Elephas maximus indicus: one gene and its partners. The protein of the gene in region 4 interacts with the protein of the main gene of each other region in a pairwise test. Links are inferred from orthologs where the notes say so. Each region holds a gene or a part of one and is shown on either strand. Other genes may lie near its edges.

Region 1 (7,565 bases), on a different chromosome or scaffold from region 4:
TCTCTACCAAACCCTTTGTTTTAGAGACAGCAATCTTCATTATACCCTCAATATACGCACTTTAGCATGCTTTCCTTATTCTCAAGTGTCAGCTGATTCCAACCAACCTTCAGTAATCTCTCTCCATTAAAAAAAAACAAAAACCAAACCCACTGCCATTGAGTGGATTCCGACTCACAGTGACCTAAAGGACAGAGTAAAACTGCCCCATAGAGTTTCCAAGGAGCACCTGGTGGATTTGAACTGCCGACCTTTTGGTTAGCAGGCGTGGCACTTAACCACTACGTCACCACTGTAACCAAAAAAAAAAAAGTAAGAGCTAACATTTATAAAGAACAATTTCCTTCAGTGGAATTAATCCCATTTAATCCACACAACCCTGTGAAATTTATTTTTCAAGGCAGGAAAAACTGAGTAGGTTCTCTAAGGTTAGTTAAGTTCTTCCAGGTTACACGGCTGCCTCCTGGCTCAAAGTTCTGTCTTTACTGCTCACGTGTCACTTAACATATGCCTTGAGATATTTAACATTTGTGTTAGCAGATGTTGTCTAAACAGTTCAAAATATTACATCTGTCCAATAAAAATTTACTGAGAGTCTGTGTCGCAGGCATCGTTGACTACTGGGCATAAAGAAATGGGTGGTGCAAACAGTTATGCACTACAGATACCTCAGAATACAGGCCTGGTAGTCTGCTCCTGAAAGGTCACAGCCTTCATTGAATACCCTACTGAGCACTTCTACACATGGGGTCGCCATGAGTCAGAATCAACTTGAATGCAAGGAACAACAACGGGGCCTCTACAAATGAAAAGCAATAAACTCTCTAGATATGTGCGTGTCCCACAAATGTAGGTAAGTGCAAAATTCAAAGTAATGTTGTACACAGTGATTATAAGTAGATAAAAACCATGTTTATATAAGAATTGGAAAAGAGCATAGTCTTATAGACCAAAAAACCAAACCCGCTGCCATCCAGTTGATTCCGACTCATAGTGATCCAATAGGACAGAGTAAAACTGCCCCATACAGTTTCCAAGGAGTGCCTGGTGGATTCGAACTGCCAGCCTTTTGGTTAGCTCTTAACCACTACGCCACCAAGGTTTCCAGTCTTATGAAAAGCATGTAATAAAGTTGGGTTTTTTTTGGTTTGTTTTACTATTTCATTCAATTAAGCTTTTTGAATTAAGCTTTCATTGAATTAAGCTAATCGAGCAATCAAAACACATTTAAAAAAATTTTGTGTGTTCCTTTCCTCATAAAATAGTAGAAATAGACTAGAGGTGTGTCCCTCCATTAACGTGACACTCTAATTTGTTTTTAGGAAGATGCAACTGGATATCAATAGTAAGGCTTACCATAAATCTTCCTACAATTCTAAACCTTTGGAAACTTGTAGGTGATTGGAAATTTTCATACTATGGAATCGTCCAATTTTAAAGTTAAATGAAACCTTAAACATTTCCTCATTTTACACATTAGTTGGTTACTGAATTCTAAATTTTAAATTCTGGGCTGAGGAGAGTAATACCACAATCTACCCTGCTATGATGTAATGGCTTATATTGCAGTGGAATGACGTGTCAGAAATAAAAGTGTGTGTGTGCTAGCATCAGCCCAGCACGTGGAATTCAGATTTTAATTACTAAGCAGCTGTGTCTAATTGAACTTAACTTCTCCAGTCCTGGACATCTTCATCTGGATAAATTCTAACCGCTGTTCAAAGGGTGGTGGCAAATATTTAAGACATAAAGCCTTCCCCATTTAAGTCTCCGTGGTAAAGAGCATTACTTAGATATTCTGCCTTTCACTTTACACTTCGCAGAGTTTGCACCCGTTGCCCTAAGAGGCAAAAGGCACTGTCAGTCCATTGACATTATAAAGCTGGTTCAGTCATGAAGAACCTGTGCATCCGAGTGCACGCACACACAAACATAATGGTGACTAGCCATTTCAGAGCACTGTACTTTACAGTACAAACTCTCACACATAAAGGCTCTAAAGCTGAAAGTATGGGAAAGCGATAAACTGGACATCAAAATCTAACTACTGCTTTTAAAAGCTGTGGCCTACTGCATCTCACTCTTGGCTCTCCCCGACTTCAGGGGTCCCCCAGGAAAAGGAAAGGAAAAGAGGGCCAACGGACAGCTGAACCTCTGACTTGGAAGCCATCTGGAAATAAGAATCATGTTTTTGGGGGTGGCTTGCAATTCGATGAGAGCTCTCCAGGAAGTGCTGGAAACGGGCATGTGGGCTAACAAGTTGGCAGTTTCTTGTGGTTCGTCCTAAACTACTGTCAACCTCGCATCCTACCACAAGGGACCTCGGGTTTCCCCGAATCACAGGAAAGCGCAGGGGGTGGGAAGGGGGTGGCCGCGCCCAGGCCCGGTAAGAGGAACGGAAAGGTGGCCTCGAGCGCGGAGGGGAGGAAGCCCGGAGGCAGCCGGAAAAGATAAGCAGAACTGAGTGAAGGAGTGTCTGTGGGCGAGTAGGATGGGGCTGCCTAGCGGGTAAGAAAACGGGCGGGCGGAACCGAGCAGTGGTGTCGGTTCTAAGCCGGTGAAGGGCGGCGCTCCGAACGCCAAGGCCGGGTCCGAACGAGCCGACCTCAGGGAGACAATGGCGCGGGCGTGACGTGGCCGGGGGCGTCGCCACGACACGGAGGAAGGGGCTGCGCGGGGCCGGGGGCGGCACAGGAGTGGGGGCCGTGCGGTGCGGAGACGCGGGCGCCCCGTCCGCGGGCGCTCAGGCAGGGGATCGGGCTGAGAAGAGGGCCGAGGGCCCGGGGCCGGGGGCCCGGGGCCGGGGGCGGGGGGCGGGGGCAAGCGGCGGCTACAAGCTGGGGTCGCGCGCTCGGCCGCGCACCCTCCCTCCCTCGCTGGCTGACCCACGCCCTCCCCTCCCGCCCGTGGGTCGCGCCGCACTCACCGGCCCCACCGAACGGCTGCAATCCCAACGCGCAACTGCCGCAGCCGCCTCGGCGCGCGCCCTCCCCGCCCCCGCTGCCCGGGCACCGCCCCCAGCTCGCGCCCAGCCGGGGACCGGCTCGCTGTTCCGTTCCCCTGCTCCGCCGCAGAATCCGGCCGCGGCGACGCTCCCTTGCCGCGCTGCAAAAGGGGCGGGACGACACGGCTGGCGCCTGGGCTCCTCACATGGGCCTGGGAATCTTCAAACAACAGAACGTCGCTTGTTGCCCAGCTGTGCGGTGACGTACATTGACAACCCTTCCAAGTCGTTTAGGCCTCCATCCTTGGCATTCTCCCCAGGTCCTTTCGTAGGGCTCTGGGCTACCTCTCCACAGCGTCTCGGATGATTCTTGGACGCTTTCCCTTAGGGGGAGGGAGCATCCTTTTCCCGGTCACTAAGTCTTCGAAACCAACGGACCTCAAGTCCCTCCTGGTCCAGACCCCGTACCACGCTTGAATCTCCTTAGTGATTAAAAAACACCAGCTTTGGAGTTTGCCTGGCTGTGTGGAATCCCAGCTTTACCACTTATAAGCTGACTCTGGAAGAGTTACCTGATCTCACTACCCCCAGCTCCCTTATCTATAAGATACCGGACAGATAACGAGAGAACCTACATCAGAGGGCGTTGACAGGATGAAGTAACATAGGTAAGGCTCTTAGCACAATCCTAGCGCATAGTAATCAGTTAAACACTTGACTATAAGGGTCGCTAGTAGTCGGAATGGACTGAACAATGGGTTTGGATTTTTTTTTTTTTTTTGTATTAAAGGAAGAGGTAGCTGGCCCAAACCAACCCAGTTGGCCCTTCAGTAGAATAGGCCTGGCCATCTGCTTCTGAAAGGTCGAAGCCTTGAAAACCCTAGGGAGCAGTTCTACTCTTTACACATGGGATTGGCAGATGTTGGAATCAACTGGAGGGCAACTGGTTGGTTTGTTTTATTTTATCAATCCACCATCACCACTAACTCAGTCTGCATGAAGACTCCTCGATAACAGAAAGACTGTTGTTTCCAGAGCATTGCCTTTCTTTGTCAGAGCAGATCTGACCAGTTAGAAAATATTTCTGAAGCTTCCACTTCCTGCCCTAGGTTCTACCCCTTCGAGCGTCAGAGAACAAACAAGTCTAACCTATTTTCAACCTTCTGCTTTTCAGATATTTGAAGACTTCTACCCTGTCTGCCCAAGGTTTTCTCTTATTTGAGATCAGTATTTCCCATTTCTTCCGTTGTTCCTCCTCTGTCCTAGTGTTGAGGGTCTTTGCCCTCCTCCTAAGGAGCCCTGTGACACAGTGGTTAAGAGCTCAGCTGCTAACAATACCATTGGTGTTTGAATCTATCAGCTGCTCTGCAGGGGAAAAAGATGTGGCAGTCTGCTTCTGTAAAGAGTACTCCCTTGGAAGCCCCATGGGACAGTTCGACTCTCTGTTCCACAGGGTCACTATCAGTCGGAATCGACTTGATGGCAGTGAGTTTTGTGGGCCCTCCTCCTTGTCTTCTCTGTACCTAGTGGGCTTGATTGTGACTCCTTTAGAATATGTCTTCCATGACAGAACTAAATGTTTATGGTCCCACCAAAGCATAGCAGGACTGTCACTGCCTTGTAAAAGAACTTATTGTCTTTCATTCTTACAATAAAGTTCCTGGCACTGCACTACTGACTTATACTGAGCTTATGGTCAACTAAAACCTCCAAGTCTTTTTAGTAAGTGCCCTGCTCCAGCATTACTACCCCCTCTTGTGTTTTTGAGCCAATTTCAGTTCAGATCAGCTGAGGATAGGCCTTGAGCCTCTCACCTACTAGATTTATCAGGGTATGTGGAAAAAAGGACTAGAAGTTGGAAGTTAGCCTAAAGTTTTATTTACCCCACCTTTGAACCAAGCGTATTTGGGAAAAAAGCCAGGGTTTGTATATAAAGACCATGGTGGTGAGTGAATAAAGCATACATATATGCAATGTAATCTCGATTGTGCAGGAAAAATGTGTGCATACCTGCACACACTCATGCATGCACATGCACGCGCACACACACACAAAGGACTAGAAGGAAGTATGTAATTAAGCATGTTAATCATGATTTTCTGTCAGTGATAAGATTTAGGTGGTTTCTTCTCTATACTTGTCTATAAATTTCCCAAATTTTCTACATCATTTGTATTACTTTTAAAATCAAGAACTCTGTTTCAAAAAATAAATCAGAGAGATGGAATAACTTAAATTGGGAAACAAAGGGTACATAACAGAGTAGGAGAAAAATATTTGCAATATACAATATAATGCAAAGGATTTGTCGCTAGAATACATAAAGAGCTCTTAACAAATCAATAAGAAAAAGACAAATAATCCACTAGAAAAATGAGCAAAGATTGTAAAGAGACAGGTCACAGAAAAGGAAATACAAACTGCCAATCAACGTACAAAAAGATGCCCAGCCTCACTAGTAAATGGGGGAAATGCAAATTAAAACTCAGCTTGGCAACATAACTGTTAAGCTTCATAATGTCAAGGAATATAAATTGGCACAGCCACTTCAGAGGGCAATTGGACAACATCTATTAAATCTATGTTTTAGGAATTCTACTTCTAGGTATCTTCCATAACTCCATGTGCATATGGAGATATATACAAAGATAATCACTACAGTATTGCTTGTAATAAGAAAAATCTGGAATCGGCCTAAATGCCCAACAATAGGGGAATGCTAAATAAAGTGTAGAATACACATATGATGGACCTCTATATAGAAGTTAAAATGAGTGATCTATACGTTTTGACATAGATATATCTCAAAATCATATTGCTGAATGAAAACAGCCAGCTGCAGGATGATATGTACAGTATTGACATTAAAAAAATTCTTCCTCAAAATGCATAGTTCAGCCTAATCGTGAGAAAACATAAGACAAACCCAAATGGAGAGCTATTCTACAAAATACCTGACCTGTACTTTTCAAAAGTGTCAAGGTCATAAAAGACACGGAAAGACTGAGCAACTGTCACAGGTTGGAGTAGACCAAATGCAATGTGGTATCCTGGATGGCACCCTGGAACAGAAAAAGACATTAATGGAAAAACTGGTGAAATCAGAGTAAAGTCTGATTAGTTATATTTGTAATGTGGTAGAGGATAAATGTATCCATGTATTGCTTTTGTAACCAAAAATTAATTTTTTTTTTTTAAATGCAAAAGGACAGGATATTTGGCCTCATAACTTTTATGGGTAAGACAAGTCATGCCAACTTGTGAAACAACCTTCTAACCGAGCTCTGGGGCCTGAGGAGGCAATAAGGAGCCACAAGGGGTTTGCTCGGGCTCTCTTTCTTGACATTAGTTGAAGGACCTGAGCACTACTTGGCAAGGAAGGCCACACTACTGTGGCCTAGATGGCCTCTCACCTAACTTCCTGTCCAGACACCCACATGGCTGTTCCACCACTCTGATCAACACTGTTTTCCCCAGAATCCCATAAACTCTGAGTCACCCAGAATGTGAACAGCATTCATAGGTCACTCATCAGTTTTTCTGCTTCTTGAAAGAAGCTCTCAGAGAAATACAAGCATTACTCAACGCCCTGGCCCAGGGCCTAGAAGCAGCCTCCCGCTGCCCAAAAATCTTTCTCCCAGGAAGTTTTCCATCTTAGTTTCAATTAGCCAGCTCGAGGTCCCCTCTCTTGCTCATCTTCCTTTCTCCAACACCACCAGGTCAGCACTCACTGCAAAAAGAGCCCAGTACAGACATTATGAAGGAGGCAATCAATTAGAAAACATGTAACTAGAAAATATGTAGTCCAACTCGAGACACAGGGCATCCATGAAAGACTTGGGAGCACCTACATCTATTCAAAAATATTCATTGACTCCTACTGATTTAAGAAATGATATTGGAGTCATTATTCCCTGTCCTTTAACATAGAGAATGTGACCCAGCTGCAGCTGGACTCACAAGGACACATCAACTGGGCTCTGAGGTATAAACACAATAGCTAAAATAATCTTAGGAAATATCTTTTAGGGAACCTTTCACATAAATCAAACAGAACACCAAAGACTTTCCACTTTTATCTTTTTCTATTATCATCAGTGAATAGAAAATGTGTTGGACCAATGAGGACCCTCCTGACTGTCATTACTGAAACCTGTACCAATGATTGTTAAGAAAGACAATGCAAAATGTAGGATCACAGTTTCTAGCCAATCTGTGAAAATGTAAAGTTTTCAATGATTTTACCCATTTGTAACATTAATATATACTGAGGATTGTGTAATGTTCCTTGGACTCCAGCAGACATGGCTCTAGCAGCATGCTTGTCCATTTTCCTACTTCTGCCTCTTTGAACATATACCAAATAAAACCTTTCTTTTTGCTTTACCAAACTTTGTGATGTTTCTACCCTGCAACACTACCATATGCCTAACACTGAACACTATGGACATGAGTTTCTACCTTCATGGAGTCTGCTGATGGCTTGGGAAGATGGACTTCAAATAATTATTTTATTACAATTTTGATAAGCACTATGCAGGAAAAGTACAGGATGCTATATGATGGAGAACAAAAGGGGGGCTGGGATTGGGATGGGGAGAAGGTCAGAAAACATTTCCTT
Region 2 (7,433 bases), on a different chromosome or scaffold from region 4:
TCGACTCGTGATATGGAGACAGTCTTTAGATGCAGGGCAGGGACCATATCTGACATGTCTCCAAGCCCAGCCCCTGTCTGACTCAAGTCCTGGTACATGGCAGGGCTTCCCACATTTGTGTCCTGTGTGAGGAATGGATGTCCTTGCTCTCCCTTGTATGCCTGCACCTGCCAATGCACACAAATAGTAGGTCTGGGCCCCTAGTCTAGCATAAGACCATGCTGATATAGTTTACAGCTCACTCAGGAGCCTTCTTGTGTTTTCCTAAACAGCTCATGGCTCTGTCCTCACAGAGTCCCACCCTGGGGAGGCTGTGAGGTTTGCTTCCTGGGTGCCACATGACCTTCAGTAAGTGCACAGAACAAACCTCTCCTCACTTGGTGTCAGGGGTCTATGTGGGGTGTCTGCATGGATAGCAAGCAGCCCCCTACCCCTCAGTCCCCCAGGGGTCCCTGTGAGGCCACATGTCCCACAACAGACCATCTCTCCCCCTCATCCCACCAGTGCCACTTCAAGGTGGCGGCTAGTATCCAGTAAGGCATCATCCTATAATAACCGGGGGGCTGAGGCGGCCAGTGGCTCTGTTAGAATCTACAGACAGGTGACTACACGGGCAGAGGCCACTGTTCCCTTCCACAAAATGCCCAGAGAACATTCAGTGCCATATCCTAACCTCAGTGGGTCAAAGTACTGTGCCAAAGATTTCTGTTTCATTTTCCAGGTGGGGAAGTTGAGGCACTGAGCCAAGATGAGATTTGTCCAGGGCTACCTAGGATACACTGGTGACTATCCACAAGAAAGCCCAGGCCTGTTAATCTGGGGCTTTCTGGGTCATGGGAAGGGCCCCAGACAAGTGGTTATCGGGCTGGGCTGATCTTGGGTCCAACTCATGGGAACTGGGGCTCCTCCTTAAGCCCTGTAGTTGCAGGCACACCATCTCAAATGGCCTGGCTGCTCCTCTCCTGTCTCGCTACATCCGTGTGCCAGGGCCAAGCCATCTGCAATTCCTTCCAAACCACCCGCAGTTGACCACAGAGGCCCAGGGGAATCCACGGGTCAGACCAGAGGGTGAGAACCATGGGGTGGAAGGATGAGTGGGAGGGGGGCTGCATAACAGGTCCTTGAGCTCAGTCACAGCCCGGCCCAGGGACAACACCGAGCAGTCTCCACACTCACGCTCCACCCGAGCCTCTTCAGCACATTTTTCCCTTCTGGAAATATTCCTTAACAAAGAGATGCCTGCTTCTGGCAGGCCAAACCCAGCCCACAGGTCCTAAACGCCAGGATAGAAGGCAGCCGTTTCATTTTGGCAAAGCACACCCATCGTGGGTGAAAGAACCCAGTGGGCCGACAGGAGTCAGTGCAAGAAGCAGCCCCGACCATGGCGCGGGCACTGCAGGCTGAGGCCAGCAGGCGTGATGGGGTCAGGATGCTGGTCCTACCAGTCTGGTCAGACTTCAGGACTGGGGCCAGGCACTGTCTGAGCTCCCCACAGAGGGTGGCATAAATTAGGGGGCGGGCAGTGGTTCCTTTTGGGACACTTTGGTGTAGGAGGAGGAGTGAGTCTCCTTCCCTTTGAAGAAGGCAAATCAGGCTGAGATGGATAAAGGGGCTGGTGCCCACGGGGCACTAGGAGATTCTGGGTCCCTGCCACCCTCCAGGGCACCAGTGCAGCGTCTGGTCCAGGGAGGCTGGTGTGGCTGGGTAGGCTGGTTACCTGGAGCAGGCCAGTCCCCTACAGTCTCTGAATCTCTGCTTGAACTGTGACCTGTTGGGAGGTCTGGGAGGGTCTGGTCAGGTGGGACCCAGGGCAGTGTAAGTGCTGAGGGTCGTCCTCTGTGTGCGTGTGCGTGGTGTGTCTGTGTACGGTGGGGGATCTATGTGGAACATTCTGGGTTTCTTGTATATGCTGGAGGATCCAAGTGTCTGTGGGACTCTGGAATGCGTGTTGGCATCTCCTGGTGTCTCTGTGTTGGGGGTCTGGGTATCTGTCAGTATAAGTAGTTGGGGCTCAAGGCTATCTCTCTGTGTAGAACTGGAGGCTCCCAGATATGTGTGTGTGTGTGTATGTGGGTGGGTGGGTGGGTGAGTGGTTCCTGAATGACTGTTGGGTGGTCCTGAGCATGAGGTGAAGGTAGGTTTTTAGGAAGATGGGTCAGGATCAGGGGTGTGTGTGACGTTACTGGAGTGTGCTGGGAGGATATGGAAGGAGGATTTGGGGGGTGCCCTTGAGCCTCCCGTTGCTGGGAGTAGGAGGTGGGCCAAAAGGCTGAGGAGAGGCCTGTGGCAGGACTCCTGATTTCCAGAGACTAGAGAGGGGTCCTGTGGGATCAGAAGGGTGGGAGCAGACCCTGAGGCCACCTCCTTGGGGGTGGGGGCAGGTCTGGTCCAGGTCAGAGGATGGTACAGTGAGGGGAGGATGGTGTGGCAAGGGTTCTGCAGGGGTGTCTTGAGGGATCTGGACAGAGGGTGTGTGGGGGTCCTGGGCAGAGCGGGGCCCTTTTGGGGGTGGGCGGGTCTCCGGGTGGGGGTAGGGGGAGGCTTGAAGGGTCTGGGGAAGGGTCCTGAGGGTCAGGGGGGAGGGTGGGTGGGGGTCATGGGCCTGAAAGACCTTCACAGGAAGGGGGGCGTAGTGGGAGGTGGGTGGTCCCGAGGGATTCGAAAAGGGTGCGGAGCGATGGGGAACGAGGGTGGGCGGGGGTCAGGGCCCGAGGACGAGGGTGCGGGACTCCCAGCGCGGGCTCTCAGGAGGGCCGGGTGGGGCGGCCCGAGTCGCGGTTTTGCCCGGCCCCTGCGGGCCGCAGCGCAGAGCCGCCGGCCTGAGAAGGCGTCCGGGAGGCCCGGCCCACGCCGCCTTACCTGCGCCGAGCACGCCGCCATCGCCGTGCGGAGCCTCGCCGTCCCGGGCCGAGCCGCCGGATCCCCGCCGCGCCGCTCGCCCCGCAGCCCGGGCCCGGCCCCCTCAGCCGCCCCCCGGGACCGCGGCCGCCGCCGGCTCCGCCGCTGCCATTATACCCGCTGACAGGAGCCGCTGCCCCGCCCCCGGAGCCCGGTCAGCCAATCCGCCACACCCAGGCCCCTTGGCTCCGCCCATCATCAGGAGTGACGGGGGGCCTGGCCAATTCGTGGCCATTCCGTGAGGAGGGCCCCGGCTACGGTCAGAAGTTTGACGCCTCTTAGGAGAGAAACGAATTGAAATTAGGGAAACAATGACGGACAGGTGGCTTTGCCTATGGAAATGAGGAATACTGTTGAGCAACACCTGACAGGACCAATAGCGGGGAAAGAGGGGTGTGTCTCTGAGGCAAGGCTGAGGCTCTGAGGAACCCCGGCTAGAAGAAGCCAAGCATTTGGCACTAAGCCCCGCCCAGATCCGGGCTTTCTGCCCAATAACGAGACGTCCATTATTATCTGTATCTCAAACTTCGGCCCTGGCAACTGCTGGGGCTCTATAAAGATTGACATCCAGTCAGCCAATGACATTGAAGGAGGGAGCTGAAGTGACACCTTCTGACCAATGGTGTCGTGAGATTGGTGTGAGGTTTGTCTCCTGGGAGGCGGGGCTTGAGAACTGGGTGAATGAAATGGAGGCGGGGCTAAGGGGGCGGGGCCTAGGCCGACACGGGTTAGGGGCGAAATCAAATTAGGGAGAGACTAACTGGGTGGGTCTGAGAAGGGGCGTTACCAAGAAATCCCTAATTGCAGAGGGGGAAGAGATGGGACCGCATCCCGTCTGAGCTCGGGACTTGGGGTCACACAGAAGACTCAAGGCCGTCCCTTGCCCTAGTCTAGGCCGGGTGAAGTGTCTTCTCCGAGGCTCACAGTGCCTTACGGTCCCTCATCAAAGCACCGATCACACCGTGTTATTACTCAACGCCTACCCACCCCAAACTGATAGCTCCTCTCAGAGGGGGCTGCAGGGCCTAGGTCAGAGCTCCCTGGGGTCCCCAGCGCTGCCTAACAGCTTATAAGTGAATGAATGACTATATGAATGGTGGGACTAGGACTCTTAACAGGGATGTGAGGGGAGAGAGCCGCTCAGGCTGGGGAAGGACATGTAGAGACAGGCACTGACGGCAGAAAGGCATTCAGCAGAAAGGACAACGCGCTTCCACGCCAAGATGCAGGGATGGGTCGTCAGGGGGCGGGGCAGGGAAGGACTCCATCACAGAACAGACTGTAGCATGACAGAAGTCGGAAATAACCCGATTCCGACTCATAGTGACCCTATAGGACAGTGTAGAACTGCCCCGTAGGGTTTCCAAGGCTGTAATTTTTACGGAGCTGACTGCCACATCTTTATCCCTCGGTGGGCTGGTGAATTCGAATTGCCGATCTTTCTGGTTAGCAGCCCAGCACTTAACCACTGCGCCACCAAGACTCCTGAAACCGAAATTGGGGCTGAAAATAGGGAGACGGAGGGAGGATCCAGAAGGCTGAGACCCTGAGTGGGGTGTGTCAGGACCTTCTAAGGCTGAGATCTCCACCTTCTAACAGTAGGGGGCTCTGCTCTTCGGAGAAATGCCCGACATCCGTCGAGCTCTCTCTGCCCTTGTGCGCCTCTCTGTGCCTTGTCTACACTCTGCCGCTGTCTACATTCTCTCTGCCCCATCCACACTCTCTCTGCCCTGTCTACAATCTCTGCCCTGTCTACACTCTCTGCTCCATCTACACTCTCTCTGTACCTGCCCCACACCCTCTTTGCCGTCTATACTCTCCTGCCCAGTCTACACTCTCTTTGCCCTGTCTACACTCTCCCTGCCCTATCTACATGCACTCTGCCCCTGTCTACATTCTTGTTGGTCATGTCTACACTCCCTCTGGCCTGTCTACCCTCTCGTTGATCATGTCTACACTCTCCCTGCCCTGTCTACACTCTCTTTGCCCTGTCTCCACTCTCCCTGCCCTGTCTACAGGCACTCTGCCCCTGTCTACACTCTTCTTGGTCCTGTCTACACTCCGTCTGCCCTGTCTACACTCTCCTTGCCCTGTCTATACCCTTGCTGGTCGTGTCTACACTCTTGTTGGTCCTGTCTACACTCTCTCTGCCCTGTCTGTACTCTCCCTGCCCTGTCCACATGCACTCTGCCCCTGTCTACATTCTTGTTGGTCCTGTCTACACTCCCTCTGCCCTGTCTACACTCTCTCTGGCCTGTCTACCCTCTCGTTGATCATGTCCACACTGTCTGCCCTGTCTATACACTCTCTCTGCCCTGTTGTGGTGCGATGGATCACAATATTATTTGACCTTTCTAGCCATGATGGAAACCCTGGTGGCGTAGCGGTTAAGTGCTACAGCTGTTAACCAAGAGGTCAGCAGTTCAAATCCACCAGGCTGTCCCTGGAAACTCTACGGGGCAGTTCTACTCTGTCCTATAGGGTTGCTATGAGTTGGAATTGGCTCGATGGCAGTGGGCTTTTTGGCTTTCTAGCCATGATCTTGAAACTCCCACCAAAAGATTGGGTGAAACTATGAAAATGAGATGTTTGTGTCCCACCAAGATGTTTGGATAGCTTGGTAATGCAAGTAAGGTGCATGGCACTCTTGTGGGGATAGGACCATGCAAATAAGATGTATGGAATCCTATTGAGGGGGATTGATCAGTTTTCTCATCCTGCTAGGCTTAAAATGAGCCATCTCAGAGACGGACGGGGAGACTTGACTACCACCAAGAGGAAGAGACAGGAACAGAGCACCTCCTTTGGACCCAGAGTCCTTGCACTGATGAACCTCTTAGACCCAGGAGACAGAGAACTATAACACTAGAGATGACGAGAAGCAGCGGTAGAGAAACAGCAACAACAGAGACAGCAGGAGATAGACAGGAGATGGCACAGTGGGCTTCCTGGCTCATGGAGTGAGAGAGCTGAGTGCCTTTGGACAGCAGGGCAGCGGGCTTGCTGGTGGAATGGGGTGCCTCTAGGCACTTATTGGCAGAGCTAAAGAACTTTGTATCTCTTGCCCAAGGAGGGTAGGTCCAAGAGGCCCAAGAGGCCCAAGGGGACGAGGGGCCAAGGGCCAGAAAGAGGCCTGCCTTTGAGCACAGCTGAGAAGAGGCTGTCCTGACCCACGAATGGTATCCTGAGTCTTTCCTGACCCTGAATTGTAATCTGTTACTTCTCTAATAAACCCCGTAATCCTGAGTATTGTCTTTGAGTTCTGTGAGGCCATTGCAACGAATTATTGAACCCAGCAGAGAAGGAGAGAGTGCCACGGGAGGTACGGCTGGTGTCAGAATTAGGTAAAAAGGTTGGAGAGAGGAGGCATATCTGACCTCTGCTTCACAGGAATCAGCCTTGGGCTGATGCTGCTGATGGTGATTCTCTCTCCCCTTCGTGAAGTTAGAGGAAGTCAGAAGCCCCCACCATGCCATTTTTACACCTGTCTACACTCTCTGCCCTGTCCGCGCTCTCATTGGTGCTGTCTACACTCTCTCTGCCCTGTCTACACTAGCTCTGGCCTGTCTACATTCTCTCTGCCCCTATCTACACTCTCTCTGCCCTGTCTACACTCTCCCTGCCCTGTCTACACTCTCCCTGCCCCGTCTACACTCTCCCTGCTCTGTCTATACTCTCTGCCCTGTCTACACTCTCCCTGCCCTGTCTACACCCTCTCTGCCCTGTCTACACTCTTCTTGTCCTGTCTACACTCTCCCTGTCTACACTCTGTCTCCCTGTCTATACTCTCACTGGTTCTGTGTAAACTCTCTCTGCCTCTGTATGCCTTCCTCCCCCCACACCCTTTCTATCTATACTGCATCTATTAAAATTCTGGAAACGATAATCCCAAAAACATATTTCTGAAAACTCGAGTGGTAAAAATAAATAGAATGCATTCCTTCTCTCCACATTTCCATATCACCCAATCCTCTTTTCTTTATAATTTTTTTAATTGAACGTTAGGTGAAGGTTTACAGAACGAACTAGTTTCTCATTAAACGGTACACACATTGTTGTATGACATTGGTTAACAACCCCACGACATGTCAACACTCTCCCTTCTCAACCCTGGGTTTCCTATTACTAGCTTACCTGTTCCCTGCTACCTTCCAGTCCCTGCCCAGGGCTATTGCTCCCCTTTAGTCTTGTTATGTTCCATGGGCCTGTTTAATCTTTGGCTGAAGGGTGAACCTCAGTAGTGGCCTCATCACTGAGCTGAAAGGGTGTCCGGGGGCCATACTCTCAGGGTTTCTCCAGTCTCTGTCAGGCCAGAAATTCTGGCCTTTCTTTTTGAGTTAAATTTTTGTTCTACATTTATCTCCAGCTCTGTCAGAGACAGAGCAGTCATTGGTGGTAGCCGGGCACCATCTAGTTGTACTGGACTCAGTCTGGTGGAGGCCATGGTAGATGTGGTCCATCAGTCCTTTGGACCAATCTTTCCCTTATGTCTTTAGCTTTCTGCATTCTTTCTTGCTCCCAAAGGGGTAAGACCC
Region 3 (7,895 bases), on a different chromosome or scaffold from region 4:
GGATAGAGAAGTCCCTGCAGTTTATCTTCCTCAGTGGGTAGAAACGGATTTCAGGATTTTAGAGGTGGTAGCCCAGGAACATAGCACCTACAGTCTGAGGAGACTGGAGAAAGAGGATCAGAAAAGGGCTCTTAAAGATTCTAACTTAGAAGCACATTAGGCTCTGAAATACCGCCCTGACATGATTTAAGTAAGTCACTACAAGTTTTCTAGGCCTCAGTTTCCCAGTCTTTAAGACAGGATGGTTTGAAGATCTGATTCTAGTATTGCATGGCTTTAATTTTCTCAATAGGACTTATTTCCCCATGTTCTTAGCTAAGTGAACTTCATTCTCCCCAACTCTCAAAGTGGTTTCCCATTAGAGACAAGATTTGGGGTAGGCGTCGAACAGAGCGAAACCTTCAGTCATAACACGAGTTTTGGGAAATGGAGTTTTCCCTGTATTTCAATGATTTCAACAAGTGTTCAACAAACCTTACATTGGGCCGCAGAGAAATGGCTGAGGCTTAAACTTCTAGCTTCCTCTCCTTTCATCAAATAATCAGAAAGGATATAAAAAATAAATTCTCTGAGCCTACAGTTAGGTACTGAATTGAAGTATGACCTGGTCTTTTCTTCTTTTATTGTGCAGAATAAATCTGGAAACTTGGCCACCTGCAGCTTCTCCATAAAATATGGTCTAAGAGTAATGCTATCAACTGCTAGAGTTGTCTTTTTCTCTCTTTTGTTTTTGCTTTAAGATTTTACCGTAATCTATCCTTTTGGAAAGAATTGGTGTTGGTTTATTCAAAAACAGACTAGTTTATAATTCTGGGCTGGGTTTCCAGGATGTTCCTCAGTCCTGATTCTTAGCCGTGTCTCTTTAGCCCAATTTAAGGCTTTGCTTGAACATTCATCGAAATCATCCAAATATAGAGAAAACTTCCTATCTCCAAACTGCACACTATGGCCAAAGGTTTGGGTTGGCTTGAGCCCTACTCATATCTTGTGAGTGTAAGGCACCCGCACAGGCTCTAGGAAAGCACTGTCTTGTCACCAGGTTATAGGGTTCAGACCTGTGAATGAGAATGTCATTGTCGTTAGTTGCCTTTGCGTCGATTCTGACTCGTGGTGACCCGTTTGCAGAGTAGAACTGCTCCATAGGATTTTCAAGGCTGTGACCTTTCCGAAGTAGATCACCAGGCTTGTCTTCTGAGGCGCCTCTGGGTGGGTTCGAACTGCCAACATTTTTGCTAGTAGTCGAATGCTTAACTGTTTACACCACCCAGGGACTCCTTGAGAGTGAGTCTAGGTCCTTTAAAGACCTAGAGAAAGACGCTGAGAGGACAACTCACAGGTAAAGCCCACCCAAGAGAAGGCCTTTATTTCAGGCAGCAGAACAACACTGCAGAAATGTTTTCCATCTCCAAACATTTCTGCAGATTTGGAGCAAAAGTTTTACCTGCAGTGCTGGTCTCCCACTCCACCCACCCTGTGGACACAGCTACTCTTCTCTAAGACAGAAAAACATGACTTCAAAGTGCACGCATTAGAACCCCACCAGCTTTGAAACTGTACATACCAAGAGATAGAAAGGTTCATGAGTTCAAGCATTCTAAGGCTCTTTTTATGGAGGGGTGGAAAGTGGGGGTGGGTGGCAATTTAGGGAAGAAAGGGAGTGAGAACAAAGGGCAGCAGACACAGCAAAGTCAAACTGGATGAAACAGGCTGTTCCACTTTTAACTTCTCTAAATGTACAGTCTGGGTCTCTGGAGGCAAACCGGTCGGTTAAAGGACTTCTTCTCATGCATTCTTAGGCTTCCCTGGTCACTCCTTGGACTCACTGGGGCCCTAATTCGATGGGCTTAAGAAAGTGTGGGGCTGACCAAGGAGGACAAGTCCTCTGGTTCACTCCGGAAAGAGTCAGTGGTCGGGTATTATGTTCCTATCCCTCACAAAGCACGCCCCTTGTCACATGAACGGATCAAAGCAAATCCATTTCCATTCTTGGAAAAGCAGCTCAAAGCACTGGTTCTCTTGATGGTGCCGCTGTCACTTCTGTGTAGTCAACAAACATCACTTACTGGACACTGTTGGGGGAGAAAAAGATGAATAAGCTACTCCAGGAGGTTAAAATACTTAGCAAGGAAAGTAGGCACTTGCATCATAAAACGCGACACTATAAACTAAAAAAAACTGCATTTGCTTCTTCATATTCCACCTTCCATTAATGCTTGCCATAAACCACGGCCTTCCAGTGCAGTGGCTGGTGGTAAGGAGTGCTGTGGAAGTCGGTGGTTTATGGCTTGGCAGTTTGGTATCTTTGTAAATAAAAACATCACCTCCCCCTCCATCCAACCATTTAAACTCAAGACTTCACAGAAAGAAATGGAATGAAGATAGCTCACTCTGTTCCCAGGTGTGAGCCCACTTTCATAAAACTAATGGTGGTATATTTCACTGAGTTAGAAAGTTGCATTTAATGGGTCTCAGTGAACGGCTGGTATATGGAAGGAAACAATCCAATCTTTTCAAATTATCTTGGCCAATAATAATTAAGAATATTTTCGTAAATATTTACTACGTCCCAGGTACTATCCTAATCTCTTTTACATGTGTTATCACAATTAATCTTCACGATAAAGTAAAAAACCGGTTCCCATTGAGTCAACTCTGATTCATGGCAATCCCATGTGTGTCAGAGTAGAACTGTGCTCCACAGGGTCTTCAATGGCGGATTTTTTGGAAGTAGATTGCCAGGCCTTTCTTCCAAGACACCTCCGTGTGGAGGAACCTCCAACCTTTGGGTTAGCAATGGAGCACATTAACTGTTTGCACCACCCAGGGGCTCCACAATAATAATTTTATAGGCAAGGAAACTGAGGTTTAGTGTGGCTAAGTAACTCAGTCAACACAAAGCTAGTAAGAACTAAAGCCCAGATTTGAATCTAGGTTTGTCTGACCCAAAGCCCAGCCTTGAACTACCACGTTATAATGCTTCAACATGCAACACTTAAACTTAATTTGGAATCCCTTAGATTTGTGAGGTGCCTTACTGTGTTTTTTTTACTGTGTCCAGAATGCCATCAGTTTGAAACATTCCAAAAGCCCCTGTTTGATATGAATGCTGTATTTATCAGTGAAAAGCATTACAGTGTTAGACACACTTTTAAAGGAAAGAGATGTTGATCAAAGAAGCCAAGTTATGTGTGTGGTTACAGGCAATATTTCTTTTCCATATTTGTGGTACAAAAAATAACCAGAAGAAACTTCTTTCCTTCCTCTCCCGAAGGTACTGGGAGCACGGACTCTTGGCCTTCAAACAGAAAAATTGCAAAGTCTTAAAGGCTGGAGCTTGCAACAAACCAAAAAACCAAACCCAGTGCCATCCAGTCGATTCTGACTGAGCTCGCAAAAGATGCAATAAAGGTTAGAAACCCTGGTGGCCTGGTGGTTAAGTGCTATGGCTACTAGCCCAAGGGTCAGCAGTTCAGATCTGCCAGGCACTCCTTGGAAGCTCTATGGGGCATGTCTACTCTGTCCTATAGGGTCACTATGAGTTGCAATCGACTTGACGGCAACGGGTTTGGTTTTTATTATTATTTTTTAATCATCAGGTAGACTTTGGGCAATAAAAATAGAACGGCCAAGTAACAGGACTGGTAGCAAGAACAGTATTTTAAAAATAGGATTACTGTGCATCTGTTGACAAGCATCCATTTTCAAGGCTGCACTCACATGTTTTCTCAACCATCACCGCAAGGCTGAGAGGAGCAAAAGCCAATTATTCCCATTTTATAGATTTAAAAGAAGGCCTAAGTTACTTGCAAAGCAAAAACAGGGAGAATTTAAGGAATTCTAAACTTTTGAGGAACCCTGGGCTACCGCGGGGCCATGAGAACACCTCACTTTCATCTGCTCTTGGGGAACAGTTTGCATAAAAGCACAATTTCAAATCTGGCCAGCAGCCCTAAAGGTCCCTTCAAACTGCTTTGTTTTGCATATGAAGAAACGGGCCCAAGGAGGCTGAGTAACTCGATTAAGGACTGACAGAGACCTTCTCAGACAGGTCTCCTGACTGTTTCTACCGCCCGCCGAAATCTTCTCAATGGAATTATATAAACACCGCAAGATGATTAAACATGTGAAATAGCAGAGTTCTGTCCACTTCCCCAAAACCCCTGAGAGAACTGGGGAGAGGGCTCTTCGTGGACGCTGGAATCCCGGGCCTCCCATCAGCAACCCCCTCTGGAGCCTTCTCGAGCCCCGCACTCCGACGCAAACAACCACGAGCGGGCCGGTGGGGCGGGGGGCTGGTCACTAACACCAAAAGCCAATATGTTTCCGTGGTTCAGAATTTCCACCTCTGGAGTCCGCGGTATGACCTCGTAAAAGATGAAATTCTCCTTGCAAAAAAACAAAACTATTCAACCCGAAGGCAGCAGCGGCGGCTGCCCGGGGAGGTTTTCTAGGAGGCTTGGAACTCGGGGCTGGGGGGCTGCAGGGCCAGACCCAGGTCGGTGCTCTGGGCTGGGCGCGGCGGCCCGGGGTTGTTTTGCTCAAGCCTGCTGCAGGAAGGGTCCTTCCTCGGCGGGAACCAGCGCCCTCCGCGCGCAGCCAGCCGGCCAGCCCTTCTTCCCTCCCCTCCTCCCCAAACCCTCCCCTCCTCCCCAAACCCTCCCCTCCTCCCCAAACCCTCCCCTCCTCCCCAAACCCTCCCCTCCTCCCCAAACCCTCCCCTCCTCCCCAAACCCTCCCCTCCTCCCCAAACCCTCCCCTCCTCCCCAAACCCTCCCCCTCCCCCACGTCCCTTTCTCTTTCTTTCCCGGCTCGCGCTCCCCCACCCGGCGGCGCGCCCGCACCGCTCCTCGCCCAATGGCCGCTGTGCCCGGGCGCACATCAGCTGATCAGCCCGGGCTCCCGGCCGCTGGAAGCCAATCAGGGCGCCGGGGGCGGCCCCTGGCCGACGATAAAGGGTGTCCGGCTCCGGGCCACCCTTCAGAGCCGAGGATGGGAGCAGAGTCGAGCGTCTGACCTGTCTACCTGGCCTCCTCTCCTCACCTCGCTCTCGCGGCCTACTCTCCCTCCAGCCGGCTCGCCGCCCAGGTAAGCGCCTGGCTGCCCTCGGGGCGCGGAAAGCAAGCGTGCCTTTTCCCCGGCCTCCTCCCCGCCGCGGCCCCGCGGCCTTTTCTCTTTGGCCCCTTCCCTGCCTCCAGCCCCCTCCTCTGCTTTCGGCCCCCCGGGGGTGTCGAAGACGCGCGCGTGCTTCCGCCGTCGGTAATTCCGGGCGGACCTGGGCTGCCGTTTGTGGGGCGCGCCCTTATCAGGGTTTTGAGAAGGGTTGGGGGGGGTTGTTTTGATCTTCCTTCTGCTGCAGTGGCCCACAGGCAGGCCCTGGAGGCCTCGGCGGGCAGAGCCGTGGAGCCCCTCGCCTGGGCGGAGCCCTGGGCTCGGGGTGTTTAGGTTGTGGAGGGAGAGGCTGTGTTCCGCTGCGGGAGCGCACGCCGGGGCTCCTGGTAGGCGCGGGCGCCTCGCTCTCTTCCTCCGCGTGGTGGCGGGTTTTGGAGGTCGTGGTGGTGTTGATTATCTTGTAGACGCCAACGTTGAAGGGAATAACCATGAGTGTTTTGTTTGCGTGGCTGCTTCCCGCCCCGGAGACCGGGGAAAATTCTGGGCCTTCCACTTATGACCGAACAATGGGGAGCCCGGCACCGCGGCGTTACCCGGCGGGTGCGGCTAACGGAGAGGCCGGGCCGAGGCGGCAGCCGCGCACCGCCCCTCCCTCCGTTCATCCCTCCTGTCGCCGCCCCGCTTCCCCCAGCCTCTGCCCTCAGAGGAGAATGGCCCCCTTGGTGAGGCCCTGAGATCCAGACCCGGGGGGGCGGGGCGCCGACGTTCGTGACATTTCAGGGCGTAGGGGCTCGTCTAAAAGTGGATTCCAACTCCCCCGGGGGCAGGAAGCGGGGCCGCTCCCCTAGCCGCAAAGCCACAAAGTACGATGCGGACGACACAGAGTCGCGGTCCTCGGGGTCGCCCTCCAACTGCTTTGGGTTCGTCGCCTATTCGGTGAAGTCCGGAGAGAAATCGCGATTCAAGATTAAGGCCTTAACCCACCAGCCTCAGTATTCCAGCATCCCCCGACCCGAGGGCTCTCGGTCTGCATCTCCGTCTCCGTCCCCCTCTCCCAAAAAGATCCGGTGTCTGGACCAGCGAGAGCCGGAGATCAAGGAGGAGCGTGAACAGAAATCAAAAAAGAGGAGGGCTAAAATAGAGGGAGCCCCCGGAAATATTACTGACCTCCATTGGCTGGGGTGAGTGAGAGGGCAGAGAGAGAGGACTCCGGAGCCGGTGGCAGCTGCAGAAACAGCTAAAAGCTTCAGAGTCCCATTTTTTCCCCCACGTAAAACTTGGCACCGTGAAGGCACCAGTTGCTAAAGTAGACTAGGCTGCTGGCCTCCGCTTCTGATCACCAGAGAGGGCAGGAGACGCTTCACCTAGACTTAAGAGAAAATGTGGCTGGATTTTGGAGGTGAAACAAACGGGTTGGGGAGGAAAGCTGAGAGTGGAAAGCTTTTCTTGGAAACAGAAAGGATCAGGATCGTTCCTGCTGGTCATTCAGGCAGGGATGGGGGAGCGACGTGATTTGACAGACCAAGTCTTATAGATGGAATAGGCAAAGGAGGTTCTTTTCCCCAAGGGAGAAGGATGAGGCTGTTGGAAGAAGCAGTTATGTTTTCAGCTGGGCAAACATGGACCGTTGCCCATAGAAACTTTGCCACTGTACTTCAGAAAGTTACCCAAGTCATTGCAAGAGAAAGAACAATGTGTTCCCTTTCCAGCCACCCTGGGCCTTTGGTGGGGGAGGGAGGAGAAAACGTTTCCTCTTGTTTTGTGGCCTCTTCTTTCTGGTTTTTGTTCTTTTCAGAAGTTTTGTAGTGGTGGCTAGTGTGCCTCAGAGCTTTTGAAATCCCAGAGTTTTTTGGTTTAGAAATGGGAATTCCTATTTGAGAAGTTGTCTAGTGGGATCTCAAGAATATTGTCATTCTCAAACTTAAATATGAATGAGCCCATGTTCTGAAGTGACCGACAACTTTGCATCAGACCAATGGAAACTGTGGTAGTGTTCACCTTGGAATCCGAATTGGATTGGTAGCTGTTTTTACATCTTGGTGATTGTAATAACTGTCATCCTTTTATTTCATTTTTGTAGGAAGCCTCAGCCTTCTAAATCTTCTGGGTAGCCTGGTTTTTCATCCTTAAATCTAAATGGTTGGGTCTGCCCCCTACCCTTCAAAGGGAGGGAGAATCTCCAGAAAGGGGTTTTTATTAAGAACACAGCTAGAATGAAAGGCAAAGGGAAGATTCAGCCAGAAACCATAGCAGCCAAGTCTTTCTGTGTCTGGATTTTACTTTTATTGGGAGAAGAGAACAACTTTTAAAACATTTCTGAACCTTAATAGTTTCTTGTTTTTGCCCCTAGTTTCATAATATAAGAAGCTTTCTAAACAATTCTACCTCAGCTACACTGAGGGATAGGGGTTAGTCCTCACAAGTCTAGATTCTAGCTTGGGGAGGGAAGCCTTGGATTTGAAGAAGCTGCAGAACTTCAACTTCTGAGCCCAAGGATGCAGAGAGGGGTCAAGGGTTACCACCAATGGCTTGGTCTTTTCTCCAGTAAGTATCTGCTTTAATCTCTTCAAAAGGTGGTACTCAGATTTTATAGCCTTATAAAGAGAGTTTTATCTGATATAAAACTTTAATACCCCAGAAAGCACATTGGATAAATACACCTATGGGTATGTGACTTCAAAGGCAGTGGCCGCCACTCTCACCCTGACTTCTTGAGGGTAGTGTTTTCCTTTGATTTAACTGTCTCTCTTGAACCACCGCAAGGATTCGGTTTGCAGTTGGTGTTC
Region 4 (7,833 bases):
AGGTGGACACAGGAAATGATGACTATATGACATCTCAGGTTCAGACAGTTCCCACATCCCCTTATGAAATAGCTTCAGTTTGCCCTCAGGGCAATCAGGTCCCCGAGCTCTGGACTCCTTGCTTGGTTAAAGGCACTGTCCTTCTTGGTGGGTGTGATGTAGGACCTGCTCCATAGCCAGGGAGAGATGGGAATCCCCTGAGAATCAAGAAAACTGCCCCTGCTCCCAATGCAACAAGATCCCTGGTCTCCAGCTTCCTGTCTCCCTCAGAGGAGAGATGAAGCCGTGGTGGAGGAGAGCAGCTTCTTGCCCACTCCTGGCCCCTTCCTATCTGTTGACTGGGATGACAGATGACTCCTGAAGCCTCTGTAAGAGCTGGCTTTGTAGGTCCTTCTCTACTACCTTCCACCAAAAGAAGTTCTCACCCCGAATCTTCGGGGGCTCATTTTGGATACCTGGGTTCCGGAAAGCCACTGTCACCAGCACATTCAGACAGATGCCATCTGTGTGGTCTTTGCCCAGATGCTGCAGTCCCAGCAACCCCTTGGTTTCCACTGCCAAATGGTGCAGGGTCAGACACTCCTGTAACAGCCGCAGGACGGCCATCTTCATGCCGCCCCTCTGCTCCATGGGGGTGAAGCCACAGGCCGTGATGGGCAAGTGAGGCATCCCCACGGTGCCCACCAACACCCACACAGTCTGGACACTGGTAAAGGTGGCCACGAGCCGTTGGCAGACCAGACTGCAGGGAAGCTCTTGGGGTAAAATTAGAGGGTGCCTAGCTTGCTGGCAATATTGGGCAGCTAGCTCTACCAGGTACAGCATGTCGTGGGCTCGCAATGGAGTAGGCAGGGAGGTTCGTGGGTACCAGCCAGCCTGTAGGGACTCTGCATCTGCATCCTTAGAAGTCTTGAGAATTCCACCTAAGGGGATTTGGGAGACAGGATAAGCAAAAGAGAAGTGCCTGGTCCGGCAGAGTAGAACAGACCCCCAGGCTCTCTAGCCCCGACCCAGGGAGGAGGCCCAGAGTTCTCAGGCTTGTACCAGCCACAAGAGGGCTGGCTGTGGAGGGGCTCGGCTCGTCTCACCTGAAGACAAGCTGGGGGAAAAGGTGTCAATTGCTCCCTGCCACCAGGCAATACTGTACCTGTGGGGCGAGCGAGGAACACAAAGCGGACCCAGGAGGGGCCCCGTTCCTCCACAGACAGCAGAGTCAGAGGCTCACACTGCAGTCCGGCCTCCTCCTTCACTTCGCGCTTCAGTGCCTCCACGATGGTCTCTCCCGGCTCCATTCTCCCGGCGGGTAGGTACCAGGACCCACGGCATTCTCGCTTGGCCTCCTGGATCAGTAGCACCTCATCCTGAAGGGAAAGAGAGGATCCTCACCCCCCCACCACAGCTGGTCTGGGGGCTCCAGTGCTGAGAAGTCCAGAGGAGCAGCATAGCCCCAAGCCCTTCCTTGCTGTAGGGCCTGATCACATCTCACATTCATTCTGCCTAACACGCCCCTCCTGACACCCAGCTGCCATCGCATCAACTCCAACTCATGGTGATGCATTATGTATTAGAGTAGAACTGGGCTCCACAGGGTTTTCGAGAGCTGATTTTTTGGAAGTAAGACCACCAGGCCTTTCCTCCAAGGTGCCTCTGGGTGGACTTAAACCTCCAACCTTCCGGTTAGCAGATGAGCACGTTAGCCATTTGCAGCACCCAGGGAGTCCTCCTTTCTGATGGCCACCGTCAAATGGTTGAGCTATTCAGGAGTACCTTCTGTAATTCTTCCCTCTTCAGATTCAGAAGGAGCCCTGGTGGTGCAGTGGTTAAGAGCTCAGCTGCTAACCAACATGGTCAGCAGTTCAAATCTACCAGCTGCTCCTTGGAAACCCTATGGGGCAGTTTCACCCTCTCCTACAGGGTGACTATTCTGACTCGACTGCAACGGCTTTGTTTTTTGGTTTTAGATTCAGGAAGACTTCCTCTTGAGAAAGGGGCTGAGATTCCTGGGTGTTGCTTCAGGGGTTGGGCGTGTGGCCCCAGAGTGAGACTCACTATGAGTCCTGAGCTGAATCATGTCTATATTTGTCACTATGTATCTAGACTCGCCACATAGTTGATTAACTGCTTATGACTCGTCCTTTCACTAATGGCTACATTTTGAATCATGCCCTTCCTCAACCCTATGTAACCCTATGTATGGTCCTGGCCCCTTCTAGCTGTTATTACAGCAACTTGTACAGGAAAATCAGTACCAAAAAGGGCATTAGACAGGAGTCAGAAGGCCTGAGTGTAAGTGTGGGTTCTGCTATTGCTATTCGTGGGGCCCAGGGGAGGTCTCCGATCTTCAAGAGAGCCCACTACGTGCCAAGCACTGTACTGGACTCCTGGGAAAGGAAGATGAGTAAGACAGCCCTCCCCTCAAGGTTCTGAGGCCTAGGGGACAAACCTGGGAAAGAGTTCCAGAGCCCCTGGGCCTCAGTTTCCTCCTCTGTACATCGGGATGATAGCAGTCCTGGACCGCACCAGGCTCAAATGCTAGTGTAAGTGAAAGTGCTTTGCAAAACTGGAAAATGCCACACACAAGCGAGCTGCGGTTGTCTCCACCTGGGCTGCCTGCGTGCTCGAGAGGCCCGGCGGTGGGGCTGGCGGTCGGCCGCGGCCACTCACCTGCTCGTTGAGGAACACCGCCAGCACGACGTAGCAGACGTTCTTCCGCAGCCGCACCGGGGCCACCAGCTCCTCGGCCGGCACCGAGTCGCAGCTCTGCACGAGCGGCCCCCCGCCCTCCAGCACGTCCGCCAGCGCCCCCGCCAGGCCTTCAGAGGCCATCGGGTCCCGTGGGAGGCGGCGGGCGCTGACCGCGCAGAGCAGCCCGACGCAGTGCGACGCGAGCCGAGCGTGTGGCCGGCCGGTCTCTCCCCACCCCCTGCCGCGGCCTCGGCCCGGGCGCGCTCGCGAACGCGGAAGGGCCGGCGAGCCCTCGCCGCTGATAGGCTGCGCGTCACCGCGGCCGGCCCCGGTTGGCTGGCCAGCGCAGGGCCCGGAGGGGGCGGAGCCAGTCCAGAGGGGGCGGAGCCAGCCCGGAGCGCAGGGGGAGCCGCCGGGCAGCGCGGCCTCCCGCCGGGCGTCGGCTGCTCCTGCAGCCTCCTCTGTCTTTCCGGATTTCTCCCGCCGCCGACCTCGCTCATTCCTTTAGTGCGCACTTGCCTCTACTGGTTCCGAAGGTGACGTCATCCTGCCTGCCGGGTGCAGAGACGCCCCAGTGGCTAGCGACGATGACGTGACAACGAGCGCGATGACGTCACGGGGCTTTGGCACGCGGCTTAGATCCACTTTGGAACTTTTGTTGTAAACAAGCAATGCCATTACTCCAGAGGATCACTTTCCAAATGACTTTCTTCTTTCAATGTCACATGGCAGGGGAGACCTAACCCCCGTGTTGGAGATTCTAGTTGGGGAGATGGACATATACATATAAAAAAGGCATCTGAGGGTTATAAGCTAAGTGCTAAATGAGTGATGTGGCAGGAGGTGTGACAGGCACTCGGAGAAGGGAGAGGTCACCTCCGGGATGACCAAGGTGTGGTACGGCGGGCGGGGGGGTTGGGGGATAGGCTGAGAGAGGGCCTGGAATCAGCCGGCCAAGCCTCATCAGTGTAGGACGTTACGCTTCTTCCTCTTTGTTTCCTTCCACGAGTACACGGGCCTGGCACATTGAGAACAGGGTGTGGGTTGTTTTGGTGAGCTCTGCTTCTCTCCCAGGCTGACCTTTCCTCCTCAGAGCTTCCTTTAACCTCCTCAAAGGACAGGAAGTCTGGACCAGCTGGAATGAAACTATGAAGCAAGCCAAGTCTGGGCTCCTCACCTCCATTTAGGCCTCCCCTTTACTCTTTCCCTCCTGCTGGCTTTGTGTCCCTCCCTTTTGAGAGAGTGCCTGTGGTGAGATGGATAAAGCATTGGACTTGAAGCTAGAAAGTCTGGCCACTGCCCCTGGCTTGCTCTATGCCCTTGGGAAAGTTATGGGCCTCCGTTTCCTCATCTGTAGAATAAATAGAATCATAAAAACTCTTCACAGGGTTGTTTGGGAGGTGAGGCGAGATGTTGTGGGAGTTGCTCTGTGCACTGTCCAGTGTTGGGCAGAGGGAGGTGCCATCATCCGGCAGCCCCCCAACCCTCCAGGCTGAGCCCTCCTGGCCACAGGACTTGCAATGAAAAAAGGCGCTCCCCCTCATGAAATATGCCTACAGGGCCACCATAGCACTAAACTTTATTCTCGGGAACTCCAGCCACACTATGTTTGCCTCTTTAGGCCCTTCTCATACATACTGACACTAACTGCAAGTTCCCTGGAGGTAGGGCCCTATGTTCAGCCGCAGGACAGCCCCGGTGGGCTCGTGAACTTTTGAGACACTTGGTGAATGCTGCTGCCCTCAGCCATATCCAAGACTTCCTTACCTCCCAGACAACTGAACTTACAAGACTGAGAGCCAGGACCCCAGGACTGCAGAGCAACTTGTTAACTTATTTGCTCTATGTGTGTGTGTTTATCCCTTGGTTTTCCCATCTGTGAAGTGGGGACAGCGTTGGTCCCAGACGCCTTTCTGCCTCCCAGGGATGATTTGAGAGGGAGTGAGGTCATGTCTGGGCAAGGCTCTGAGAGCCTCAAAGGCAGCCTAAGATAAACACCAGACAGCCTAACTGCCTGGAAGAGCGAAGACTACAACAAACCGCGGCTCCACTCCCCCCATTATCACTGAGGGAAAGTCTTCCTCTGCTACCCCAAGTGGGCCTAATCACCGCTGTGGCGAAGATCACATGAGGCAATGGAATGTGCAAAAGTCCCTTGTAAACTGTGAAGGGCTGCACACATGGGAGGGACTGTTCAGCCCTTTCCCAATGCTAAAGGAGACAACAAAGACTCTTCTCAAGGCATTGAGAGGAAGGGAGCATATTCAAGAGACCCTGAGACAGAAAGAGGGAAAAGCTGAGGAGGGAGAGGGGCTGAGATAGAAAGACACGGAGGCTGAGGCAGCTAGGTGCTGAAAGAGACCCAGCCAGTGAGGGTGGTCCTCTAAAACCAGGAACCAAGAAAGATCTCTGTCAAGTTAGGTCTGTGTCCTCCATTCCCAGACAGGGAAGAAAACTGGCTGGTGTGGGTGCCACTCAAGCAATACCAGTGGAGCGAACAGGAACAGCCTGACTGGTACAGTGCCATGCTCCCAACACCTATGGGAGAGAAGCCTGGGCCAGCCATTTCAAGGTGCATACACGTGTGTGCGTGTGAACACGTGTGCGGAAAGGCCTGTAGTAGGGAGCATCAGGGACAAGGGTGGGGCAAGAGTATCTGTGACACTAAAGGCATGTACAGAGTAGCAAATCTTCTTGTCTCTTAACAAAGCATGAAAGGTGAGGAGGGCCATAGCCCAAGCTTCCAGGCCCTCTTACGAAAGAAGTCTGGCTCAGGCTGGGCTCTGCCACTAGCTTGTTGAGTGACCTTAGAGGAACCACATCTATTCTCTAGGCCATCTGTGAAAAGAAGGCATTGTTGGATCCTGGATCAGAAAAAGGACATTAGTGAAAAGCTGGTGAAATCCCAGTAGAGTCTGTTGCTTTGTTAACAAAGTTGTATCAATGTTGATTTCTTAAAAAAAAAAAAAAATTTTTTTTTTTGATAAATGTACCATGGTGTCTTATAAGATGTTAACATTAGGGGAAGCTGGGTGAAGGGTAATTGGAAACTTTCTATCATATCTTGCAGCTCTTCTGTAAATCTAAAATTATTTCAAAATAAAAAGTCTAAACAATTTATAAGAAAAAGAAGGTATTGGATGCGAGGGGATATACACGCTCTGAGCTCATGTCCAGCTCTGAGGGCTGTACATGTGAAATCTGGCCAGTGAGAGGGGCTGGAAACAACAGAAGATTGACAATGGGGATGCTGGGACAGGCCTGTGAGAAGCAGAGGCCCAAAGGGCAGGTCTAGACTGGGGTCAAGCAGCCGCCGAGCCTATATGAGATACAGTGCTATCGAGTGCCCATAGGCCCAGTCTCAGGGTCCGTGCCCACCTGGACCGGGCCAGCCCTGGAACAAATGAACACTGATCCACCTGCTGTTTATAAGCAGTCAGACCACATATGACCTCTGGGATGGGTCACCATGATGGGGTAGGGGTGTGATGCAGATTGGGGGAGGTCTGTGTGGGGAAGAGAGGCCCAGTGACTCCTTAATGGCAAAAGTTCAGAGCACCATCTTTCCACAGCAGGGACCCTGTACTTTGGGTTCTGGGGTGACATCAGGACACGGCTATACACAGTGAAATGTAAGTGGGAATGGGTCATTCAGGGCTACTTGGAACATGATCAGACATAAAGTGCTTAATGTTGGAAGGAGGAGGACAGAGAAGAGGGCAAACCCATCTTTAAACTCCATTAAGAGCTCAGACTATAATGTAAACGAGATGGCTTGAGTCAGAAAACTTGGTTCAAATCCCAGTTCTGCCACTCAAATAGCTGTGTGACCTTGGGTGACTGTCTTAACCCTAATCTGCCCATGTCCTCATCTGTAAAATGGAAATAACATCTACCTCAAAATGTTGGTAAGAGATTATATGAAATAATTTAAATGAACACAGTGCAGTACCTGGTAAAGTGTAGGACTTCTCTATTTTTTTATCCCATGAAAAAAATAACCTAGCTTTCTGAACAATGAAGAAATCTAAATTAAAAAAAAGAGGGGGGGATGGTTACATAAATCATGGCAAAACCACTTAATGGGATATAATGGGACATTTCAATGAAGGTTTGGTAGCAACTTGGACAATGTCTATAATACAATGTTAAAAGACAGAAACCAAGTACAAAACCTTGTGGAAAATACCAAAAGGAAACATACCAAAATACTAATAGTGGTTCAGCCTAGAGCAGGTAGGGATGGGTTTACAGGTGGCTTTTTCTTATTTTGTAATTTTTCTTAAAGTATATTAACGTTTAAAAAAAAATTATTTAATAAAAAAATTCCCCTAACCACCACAGAAACAATCAGGTATAACAATACTTGGCGCATGTATGGGGCTGAGATATACAAGCAGAGGGGTGGAGGGGCAGAGTCACACCAGAGGGAAGTGGGGGGCAGTCAGCTGTCTGAGGCACTCAGGGCTGACCCGCTGGGCAAGGGCTCCTCTGGGCCACATGCATGGATCTCTACCTCAGGTCAGACAGGAGAGGTGGGTGGCTGGGGCCTGGGGTTTGCAGAGAGGGTTGCAGATCCAGGGTCTCTGCGGGCCATTGCTGCCCAGGGAAGCAGTGCTGTTCTGCCCCAGGGCTCTGCCTCAATGCTGTGTCTGTCAGGAGCCATCTTTGGGGGGCAGCCACATAGAAGGCTTTATCTTCTCAGTGAGAGCCAGGGACCTGGGCCCCCAGGAAAAGAGCAGGCAGAGGTGCTGCCGGTCCCTGTTACCCCGGCCCCAGGTTCCCACCCACCCACTCCATTTGCCCCTGCTCCTGAGCAAATTTCCATGTCTCCTCTCCCTCCCCAGACCACGTGGCCTGCATGAGCAGTGCCAACCACACTGGCAGCGTTCACAGAACAACAGACTTTAATGGAAATCTCAAAGGAGAGAGGACGGAGGGAGGGAGGAGCACAGGCAGGGTGGCATCGCCCCAATCACTCCCTCCAGCCAAGCCCGGGCAGTCCCCTGGTCCCATCCCTTCCCCACACTTCACAGCTCTCCAGTGAGAGGGCAGATTTCAAGGGCCCCTTGCCCAGCAATGCCTGCAGTGCAAAGGGTTGCCCAGGGCCCAGGGAGGATGAGGGTGGTGTGAACAGAGCTCAGGGCA

The links.
Region 1: the proteins of NUDT18 (region 4) and NT5C2 interact in binary tests that used the Homo sapiens proteins (3 or more experiments, as listed by UniProt). The two-hybrid records come from large-scale screens. The link is inferred for Elephas maximus indicus from reciprocal best matches to the Homo sapiens genes NUDT18 and NT5C2.
Region 2: the proteins of NUDT18 (region 4) and EVI5L interact in binary tests that used the Homo sapiens proteins (3 or more experiments, as listed by UniProt). The two-hybrid records come from large-scale screens. The link is inferred for Elephas maximus indicus from reciprocal best matches to the Homo sapiens genes NUDT18 and EVI5L.
Region 3: the proteins of NUDT18 (region 4) and GLUL interact in a two-hybrid assay, tested with the Homo sapiens proteins (2 studies listed by BioGRID and IntAct). The two-hybrid records come from large-scale screens. The link is inferred for Elephas maximus indicus from reciprocal best matches to the Homo sapiens genes NUDT18 and GLUL.

The regions. Positions count from the first base shown.
Region 1 is NC_064834.1:54,711,405-54,718,969, forward strand, and holds the start of NT5C2 (cytosolic purine 5'-nucleotidase), read right to left. Parts: upstream 3,009-7,565; 5' UTR 2,927-3,008; intron 1-2,926. UniProt on the Homo sapiens protein: Broad specificity cytosolic 5'-nucleotidase that catalyzes the dephosphorylation of 6-hydroxypurine nucleoside 5'-monophosphates.
Region 2 is NC_064821.1:12,570,089-12,577,521, reverse strand, and holds the start of EVI5L (EVI5-like protein), read right to left. Parts: upstream 3,006-7,433; 5' UTR 2,860-3,005; intron 1-2,859. UniProt on the Homo sapiens protein: Functions as a GTPase-activating protein (GAP) with a broad specificity.
Region 3 is NC_064842.1:45,558,954-45,566,848, reverse strand, and holds the start of GLUL (glutamine synthetase), read left to right. Parts: upstream 1-4,879; 5' UTR 4,880-5,085; intron 5,086-7,895. UniProt on the Homo sapiens protein: Glutamine synthetase that catalyzes the ATP-dependent conversion of glutamate and ammonia to glutamine.
Region 4 is NC_064840.1:52,592,491-52,600,323, reverse strand, and holds the start of NUDT18 (8-oxo-dGDP phosphatase NUDT18), read right to left. Parts: upstream 3,016-7,833; 5' UTR 2,827-3,015; coding exon 2,665-2,826; intron 1,362-2,664; coding exon 1,148-1,361; intron 924-1,147; coding exon 328-923; 3' UTR 1-327. UniProt on the Homo sapiens protein: Mediates the hydrolysis of oxidized nucleoside diphosphate derivatives. Hydrolyzes 8-oxo-7,8-dihydroguanine (8-oxo-Gua)-containing deoxyribo- and ribonucleoside diphosphates to the monophosphates. Hydrolyzes 8-oxo-dGDP and 8-oxo-GDP with the same efficiencies.